2 linked regions of the Macaca mulatta genome follow. The protein of the gene in region 1 binds, or shares a complex with, the protein of each later gene. Links are inferred from orthologs where the notes say so. Each region holds a gene or a part of one and is shown on either strand. Other genes may lie near its edges. The genes, in order: GABBR2 and KCTD16.

Evidence for each region.
Region 2: the proteins of GABBR2 (region 1) and KCTD16 are in contact, whole or in part, in a crystal structure (PDB 6M8R), measured with the Homo sapiens proteins. The link is inferred for Macaca mulatta from reciprocal best matches to the Homo sapiens genes GABBR2 and KCTD16. Residues at the interface, in NP_005449.5 of Homo sapiens: Ile882, Asn883, Ile888, Gln889, Arg891, Leu892, Ser893, Leu894, Gln895, Leu896, Pro897, Ile898, Leu899; in NP_001357415.1 of Homo sapiens: Asn30, Gly32, Gly33, Gln34, Val35, Tyr36, Asp64, Leu65, Ala66, Lys67, Asp68, Ser69, Arg72, Phe74, Gly79, Phe80, Arg83.

The regions. Positions count from the first base shown.
Region 1 is NC_133420.1:59,698,429-59,702,887, reverse strand, and holds the start of GABBR2 (gamma-aminobutyric acid type B receptor subunit 2), read right to left. Parts: upstream 3,049-4,459; 5' UTR 2,562-3,048; coding exon 2,241-2,561; intron 1-2,240. UniProt on the Homo sapiens protein: Component of a heterodimeric G-protein coupled receptor for GABA, formed by GABBR1 and GABBR2. Within the heterodimeric GABA receptor, only GABBR1 seems to bind agonists, while GABBR2 mediates coupling to G proteins.
Region 2 is NC_133411.1:153,077,144-153,081,666, forward strand, and holds the start of KCTD16 (BTB/POZ domain-containing protein KCTD16), read left to right. Parts: upstream 1-1,681; 5' UTR 1,682-1,690; intron 1,691-2,036; 5' UTR 2,037-2,362; coding exon 2,363-3,194; intron 3,195-4,523. UniProt on the Homo sapiens protein: Auxiliary subunit of GABA-B receptors that determine the pharmacology and kinetics of the receptor response. Increases agonist potency and markedly alter the G-protein signaling of the receptors by accelerating onset and promoting desensitization.

The sequences.
Region 1 (4,459 bases):
GGCAGGAAACATTTATTTAGTGCTTACAGCATGCCAGAGCATCTTCTACCCTGGCTTGTTATCTTCCTTAAGCTGCGTGTCACCTGCAGAGTACACATAATATTCCCACCTAGGCTTACAGAGATTAAATGCCCAGCTCAAGGTCATCCAGGGTGGAAAGTAACTAGTTTCTCACTAAAACCCAGGCTTCACCTACCCCAAAGCCCTGACTCTGGACCCCTTCAAAAGGCTAGAGACACTTCTCTGTTTGCACAAGCTGAAATTATCTTCTGCCTTCCTTCCCACTGTTTTCTAAATATTCCCACGAATTGAAGAGTCTTCTGACTGCCTCATCCTCTTGACTTTGGGTCCTCTCACTCAGAAAGTCATCAAGACACACTTGAAAAATAAAATGTAAAGGCTTCAACCCACACCCTGAAACGAAGCACCCATCTCTTTGCTGCCACAAACAGGCCAGTATGAAATCTCTTTCAGGGCAGCTTTCTAAAGGGAAGAAACTGATGATGAAAACATTATGCAGCTGACAATACTTGGTGATGATGCAAGCAGGGCTGCCCTATCTAAAAATGTGTTTGTCCCCAAAAGACCGGCTTTGCAGTGACCCCTCCAGAAGAATATGTGCGGTAGCAACAGAGAAACTGTCAAGAAGATATACCTCCCTGTAACTGCATTGCTCTCTCCATTTATGTGTGCCAGACAAGTACCCCCACAGAACTTGAGATGCTCGGGCAAAGACGAGGGCGACAGGAATGTCATTCGGAAATGATTTCACACCGGGTTAGCCCTGCACAGCCAGCCAGCTTGCATCCTCTGGGGCAGAGGACGCCTCTCCGCCTGCAGCAGCCTGCGCGCACCGCTGCCAACTGCCACCGGTTCCTTCACCTTTTATTTACAGCGCGGAGCAAGCTGGTTCACCGGTGAAGCCGGGGAGGCAGGGAATAAGATACAATCTAGATTCTGCTCTTTCTCTGGGGACATAAACAGGGTCCGACCAAGGAGGAGGGGAAGCCCAGATTGCACCACCAGAGCGGTAGCGCGACCCTCCCCACAAAAGGGTTCTGCACCTGGACTCCAGCAGAAGCGCCTGGAGAGTCCCAGGAAGCCAGGGTCAAGCCCAGCGCCTCGGCCCGCTCCGCGCGGTGGAAGAGGCGCCAACCGAGCGTACTGCACAGGAAATCACTGCCCCCTTCAGGCCGCGTCTCAAACGCTGCGGCCGGAGCACAGGGGCTCGCTCAGTCCGGAAAAACTCGCAAACCCGACCTTGCGCGGCCAGCGATCGCTCCTCCAGACCCGCTCCGCACGCTCCAGCCCTGGGCTGGCGGTGAAGGTCCGCTCTGGGGCTTCAGGCAGAACCCAAACCGAGGCCGTGGGGAGGGGTGTTGGGATGGAAAGCCCTTGGCTCTCTGGCTCCGCTCAGGACTGCTCTCCAAGTCCGTGCTCGGGCTACTAGGTAGGATGCTTCAAGCCTGAGCCGGGAGAAACTGCCTGCAACCGCCCGGCCAACAGCAGCGGCGCGGCCAGACACCACTGCACTTCCGGGACGAGAACTGCCAGGGCACTTTCTGAGCAACTAACCCGAGGCTGGGGTCTCCTTTTGAAATCGCTCTGGCCACAGGCAGCGCCGGGCGCGTCCAGGCAGAAGCGCTGCAGAGCCGGTGGCCCCACACCTGCCCGCGCTGTGCGGGCTCAGAGCTGCTGGCGCGCACCAGGCGCTCAGCCACGTTGCACGCTCAAGCCCCTTGGGTTCCGGAGCCTTCCGGACCTCAAAGCGCGGCTCGGCTTCCCTGGGGGCCTGTGAGCAGGCCCGCGGCCCCTCCGGCCCTGGGTGGCCCAGTTTGCAGTCAATGAGCCTGTTCCTCCCACTCCGCACCTCGCAGCCCCATGAGCGGGACCTGGACAGGGGCAGTCAATGTAGGCCTTTGGGGGTCCAGCCCCCACCTTCTCCACTCCTTTTTCTCAGGTCAAAAGAGACCCCAGTCTTCCATCCCACCCCCACCCCTCCCCACACACACATACACACATAAGACCAGAGGAGGGGGTGCTCGGCAAATGTTACCAGCTGTGCCAGCCAAGCCCAGCAGGACCGCGGGGGGTGAGCACTGGGCACCAGACCTCTGTGGCCTCGGCAGACGCGGGCCGGTCAATAGGGGCTCTGACCAAAGGCCGGAGGTTGCCCCTGTCCAAACCACCCACCCCACTGCCCCCCGAAGCCCCGACGGCACGGGCAGCCGGACACTCACCTCGGTGTCATAGAGCCGCAGGTCGAGGAAGTACGGGCGCAGGAGTGACTCGTTGCGGATCTGCTCGATGGCCAGTTCCACGGCGGGGAGCACACCGCGCCCGATGCTGCCCTTGGCCACCTCCTTGGTGAGCGGCATGAGGCCCATGATGGAGAGCGGCGGGCTGCTGGGCGGCGGCCGTGGGGCGCCCCGCGCCCAGCCCCAGGCCCCGGGCGCCAGAGGCAGCAGCAGCGGCAGCAGCAGTAGCAGCAGCAGGCGCGCGGGCGGCGGTGGCGGCGGCGGCGGCGGCCCGGGCGGCCCGGAGCTCCGCGGGGAAGCCATGCCGCGCCGCGGGCTGCGGGCGCCGGCTCACTCGGCCCGCATGGCCTGGCCCGGCCCGCCGCCCCGCGCCAAGCTCTTCCCGCGGCGCCCGCGCAATGGCGCCGGCCCGGGCCCCGGCTCCGTCTCGGGCTCGGGTTCTGGCTCCGCTCAGAACGGCCGCGGCGGCGGCGGCAGCGGCGGCGCCCGTGACGGATCAATCACGCCGGGAAGGGGTGGGAGCGAGCGGAGTGCGGGAGGCGGGGAGCAAGCGAGCAAACGCGGAGAGGGGGGCCGGCGTCTCCGCGCGCGCCTCTCTCCAGCGCTGCCGCCCCGCACCGGGCCGCCTCCGCCCTCCCCCGTGCGCGCTCTGAACCGCTCTCCCGCAGGGAGCTGCTAGGCGGCAGCCCCTGGAGCCGGGCCTGGGGAGGGCGGACGGCAGGAAACGCGGGAGGCGAAGGCGAGGCTGCTCAGCGGCGGCTCGGGCCGCCTCCAGGGACGGGGACGAGCTGTGCGCGCAGGGGGTGGGGGAGGCGCTGGCGCTGCGGCGGCTGCGGGGAGGGCCACCTTCCCAGCACACGCACACACGCGCCCCCGGCCCTCCGCCGCGCCAGCTGCCGCTGCCCGCCGACCGCTGACCTCCAGGCACCAGAGCGCCCGGGGACAGCGATCTGGGAACCGGGACCGCGCGCTGGCACACGCAGTGGCCGCCGCCGCTCCGCCGAGCGCTGCCTGTAGCACCTGCACTGTGGTTTGGAACCGCTTTTTGGAGGTCTGGCCGGGAAGGTCTCGACAGGCGAACGTTCCACGAAGGCGTCCCAGAGGCATCTGCAGCCTACGCTCTCCCGTTCTGCTCTGGCGCCCACGAGCCCCTGACCGAGTCCCAGGGGTCGCTGAAGACGCCTGCAGGTGCTCGAACGCCCGTTGGTGCCAGGCTGCCCGGCCTTTAGGGCCTTGGCTGAGGATACCCCTTTCCTCCCCACCAGACGAAGCGACCGCCCTTTGCCAACCCCAGGCAAAGCTGGGGTCCCAACCTTACGTGCGCTACCGCCCCCTCCAGGCATTTGACCTCCCCGCGTCCCCATTCTTGACGGGCTCCGCCCTAGAAGTCTCCCAGGGTGGGAGCACTATCCTCAGGCCAAGGCGGGGCCGCTCCCCTGGACTTGGCCTTGTCTCTGTCAGGTCGCACTGGCCAATCTTAGCCAAAGCAGTCCCGAGACAGATGTACCCAAGTGAGCTGACCTAAGACCTTGGATTCCTTGTGCCTCTGCATACTTCAAGAATAGGAAACGTGGTCATTAATCTATAAAGTCCCAGGGGCTGATTAATGCGAGGAACACAGTAGGACATCAAATCACAAAACATACTTGAGCCTGAACCAGGGACTGTGGGAGATATCGACGACCTTGTAATAAGAATGGGAATTTGACCTTCGCTGAGTACTTACTGTGCGCATTATGAAGTAATCCCCACAACCGCCCTGTAAGCATACTGTGTTACTCACCCTTACTTTACAGGTGAATACACTGGTGCTCAAGAGAGGTTCTGTAGCTAGTGAAAGCACACAGAGCTACTGGAGGACCGGAACCCAGAGCCAGCAGGAACTCCGTGCGCGGTGCAGTGGGAGCCAGGGATGTGGGACTGCAAGTTTCCTCTCCAGGAGGGGCACTGCCCTGACTCATTTGCTCTGGACATCGGTTCCCTCTGGCATATGGTGAGGGATTTGGACCGGATGATGATGATGATGGCTACACACCAGCTCTACTGGAGTGAGGCAAGGGCAGCTCTGAATCCAGGCTGAGTTGTTAGGAAGCACGAAGATGAGAGTGGAGGCTGAGCAGAACTACTAGAAAGTACCTTGGACAGCGCCAGGGAAACCAGGCCAAATTCTCCCTGCCCTAACTTCTCTTTCTAGGCTTCTG
Region 2 (4,523 bases), on another chromosome or scaffold:
TGGCAGACTTACTGTAAGCTGTTGGCTGGGCCATTATTGACTGGCAGGCTCAACTGGAAGCACTTTGTTAGTGGATTAGGTTGCCCTGGAAATGCCTTCCTGAAACTCTAATGATGCACTTAAGGGAGCCCTCTGGAACAGGAGTAAAATGTCTTTTAGCAGGAGTGCCTTCCACCAGAGTCCTCTTGGGATGACTTGGGAGGGGGCTGGGGGCGCATCCAAAGAGATGCTCAGTAAGGAAACAACCCCAGAAAAAGGTTGCAGGTATCAATTTCTTACAGGTAAGCTAAGATAATGACTTATGGATGGATGCAAACTGTGGGCTTTCTGTGGGTGCCAGTGTTTCATGTCTTCATTTCGAAAGAGCATCATTAATTTCAGAGAGTGTTTATTTATCTACCCATCTACGTATATATTAATAGTTATTTATTTATTTGCTAGGGGTTGTGGTGGCAGGCAGACGAAACAGAAAAGAAAAAAGAGAGAATTTGAGTGTATATGGTTTAAATCAAAGGATTAAATAAAACCCACTTTGTAGTTTGAACATTGGGGTCATTTGGTGTGCGTGTCTGTGTTTTAAAGCAAGCTTTAGAGAGAAATTTGCCCTTCAGCAGGAATTCCGTGAGCGGGAAGGGGATAAGGGGGAGGGGGGAAGATTTGTAGATTTTTCAAATAAAAAGTCACTTGTGTTTATCTCACAACTTACCTCTTGGGTGGGGGGCGGGGATTTGCTGTGGGATGGTGATGGTGGTGGAGGTGAAAACAAGAAAGAATGAAAAGGCCCTTGGAAACTCCAGACTCCAGGACAGGACAGGGAGGGAAGTGGCTGCGCAGCACTGCGTCTCCGCCCCAAGCCCCGCGCGCCCGGCAATCGCGTGCCCACCGCTGGAGCGCGGCGTCCCCATGCAGTCCTGGCAACCTGTCACGGAGGAGGACGTGACTCGGAGCTGCCGCCGCTTCCTCTAAGCCATATTCCTTTAAGATGATGTAATAGTCATTTCCCTGGATGGTTTCTTGCCTGCACTGCTGAAACAACAGCATCCGAACTGCACTGGGAACTGTGGAACCACCCAGCTCCGCCACCAGAGAAGCCGGAGCCCCGGGCCCCCCGCCGGCATCTCTGCGCTGCGTTGGCCTCTGGCTCCCACCGGCTCCCACCTGGCTGGGAACATGGGAGTCTGTTTGCCCTTGCCGGCAGGTGGGGTGGCTACCTGGGACCCCAGCAGGGCACGTCTCTCCATCTTTCTGCTTCTGGGCTTTCTGAAAAGCTTCTAAGTCCTGGTACCTCTTGCAACTCTCTTCTAAGGATCCTTTCCAAAGATTTCTTTTTCCATTTTTCCCCCCCACGGGGAAGCTTTGGTTGAATATTTTCTCTGCTTTACTTCTTCAACCCAACCTCCTCTCATCACGGTTTAACTTTTTTGTGACTTGTTTTAACTTAAGATACGGAGTGAATACATATGTACCTACATACTTACATAAACACAAATAGGCATTTATATAAATACATACATATAATAGTTATTTTCCAAGAGCACACCTCTCTGGCACTTTTCATTGATACCTCGGTCGTTTACCTGTTTGGGATTTGACAAGATCCAGACTCAGTTTGGCTGTGGATTCTGATTGCTTTACAAATGGTTATTATTATTTTTTTTTCACAAGAACTGGGTCTCCAGCACTCACTAAGGTAAGCTCTAAGACTTATTGCTTTTCCTGTCCAGCTGAAAGAAAACCCCATTTAGAAGTTGAAAATTGCATGTTTCTTTTTAAGGTAGACTTACAAGTAAAATTGTTTTTCATACTAATTGCTGGAGACAGAGGCTTATAGATAAACATGTAGACACAAAATCGCATGAGAGAAGCATGATTTAATTGAAGAATGACTGAGATCAGTAGTTCCAGAGCTGCTTATGTAAAATAATCTCTCTCTCCCTCCCTCTGTTTTTCCCTCCCTCCCTCTCTCTCTCTCCAGAGGACTCTCTTTTTCTGACTCATTCCGGGTTTGAGGAAATAATTTTTCTCTTTTCCTTCAGACGGACATCTGAGTAACTGGGGAATTGGCCTGCCTTGCCTGTGAGCTTGACGGAAGATTGGATATAGATGAGTTGATTATATTCTATGAAGTAACAGCTCACTACCATCTACCATCCAGGGTTTAAACTACTTTTTCAGCATCACTTCACCTGTGGACTCTTATACATTTTGCTTTCTTGGGGGAAAAAACCTGGGATAAGAGGAGGTCATTTTTTAATAAGTTAGCATCCTTTTCCCTTTCTTACAAGTTGATCCGAAGGATAAGGCTGTGACTCCATTGGATTGCACCTTCAAATCAAAATAGCAGCAGCAGAAGAAAGGGACAATGGCTCTGAGTGGAAACTGTAGTCGTTATTATCCTCGAGAGCAAGGGGCCGCAGTTCCAAACTCCTTCCCTGAGGTAGTAGAGCTGAATGTTGGGGGTCAAGTTTATTTTACTCGCCATTCCACATTGATAAGCATCCCTCATTCCTTCCTGTGGAAAATGTTTTCCCCAAAGAGAGACACGGCTAATGATCTAGCCAAGGACTCTAAGGGAAGGTTTTTCATTGACAGAGATGGATTCTTGTTCCGTTATATTCTGGACTATCTCAGGGACAGGCAGGTGGTCCTGCCTGATCACTTTCCAGAAAAAGGAAGACTGAAAAGGGAAGCTGAATACTTCCAGCTCCCGGACTTGGTCAAACTCCTGACCCCTGATGAAATCAAGCAAAGCCCAGATGAATTCTGCCACAGTGACTTTGAAGATGCCTCCCAAGGAAGCGACACAAGAATCTGTCCCCCTTCCTCCCTGCTCCCCACCGACCGCAAGTGGGGTTTCATTACTGTGGGTTACAGAGGATCCTGCACCTTGGGCAGAGAGGGACAGGCAGATGCCAAGTTTCGGAGAGTTCCCCGGATTTTGGTTTGTGGAAGGATTTCCTTGGCAAAAGAAGTCTTTGGAGAAACTTTGAATGAAAGCAGAGACCCTGATCGAGCCCCAGAAAGATACACCTCCAGATTTTATCTCAAATTCAAGCACCTGGAAAGGGCTTTTGATATGTTGTCAGAGTGTGGATTCCACATGGTGGCCTGTAACTCATCGGTGACAGCATCTTTCATCAACCAATATACAGATGACAAGATCTGGTCAAGCTACACTGAATATGTCTTCTACCGTAAGTACAAAGGGTTCTTTTAATTTTTTATGTGTGTCAATTCTCTTCGCAAATGTATATGGTCTGTGTGTTCTGTCCATACCTAAGGAACATGGTTTGGAATTCTTTTAACTCTTGAGTTATAGTTAGAGAATTAGAGGTTATAATTCAGCTCTCATGATTAACCTAAGGCAACTTTTATCCAATGAGGTCACAGAATATTCAAAGGCCTCCAAAATCACAAGATGCAAATGATGTTGGTATATGCAATATGTAAAATGGAAACAAGCATGTATATCTTTTTTTTTTTTTTGCCAAATATTGAATTGTGAAAATAAGGTTGATGATTGCATCTTGGCTGTTTGTCCATAGGAGCTTGGTATACTCAGTGGAAAAATTACTGCTGTCTATTCATTTAGCTGGACTTTGAGGTCTATTAAGCTGGTTGCTGAAGACTTGCTTTCATCAGGGGCTTTGAAAACACAAATGGATGTTGCCATGAATAATGTGGTCTTGGCTAGATGGCAGTACAGACTGCTGAAAGGCCCCCTCCTCCCCCCAAGTCTAAAATTTGCTTTTAAGGGTTTTACAAATCTGCTGTTTGATTCTGAAGCCTTTTGTACTGAGACCTGAGTTGCACTGCAGACTTAATTAAGCTGAACTTCATTTAAGATCTATCTAAAAGGAACTAGATCCTTGAGAATTGTCAATCACATGCAAACACCTTCAGACAGCTGAGGTGATAGAATTACTGACATAAAAGGAAACCAGAGAGGGAAGAAATGAAACAATGATACTGAAGCCTTTTAAGTAAGGGGTTCTTAGAGGTAAGTTCATTTGCTTAAATGAAGATACCCTGCAGATTCCTCATTTTATGATATGGCATTATTCTAAACTATAAACTATGAGCCATTGATCTCTGAAAGGAAGAGTAAATCAGCCTGCACTCTTTGGTACTCGATTTTAACTGCCAGTTTTCAACAGGCCCAGGAGTTGGGTGAAGTAAATTCCACAAGAAATGTGTTTCCAGTGTTAACATTTGATTTCCTGTATTCTTATTCTAAAACAAATCCAGAATTCAGAATTAAAATATCTAAATTTCTTTAAACATAAAAGTAGGACTGACTTTCTTGGACTGGTTTTCTTCCTTAGTTATGTTTATTCATTTGGCAATGGTGCTGGAAACCTTGGTGAAGAGGCTAGTGGGAAGCCAAGTTGTTCTCTACTAAGCTGTCACACATTTGGTTTTGAGAAGTGAAGGCACACGTATTGCATAGCCAGAACAACCTGTGGAAAAAAATGAAATCAGTAATCAGTTCAGGAGTATACTGATGTGCAATAACAAACATC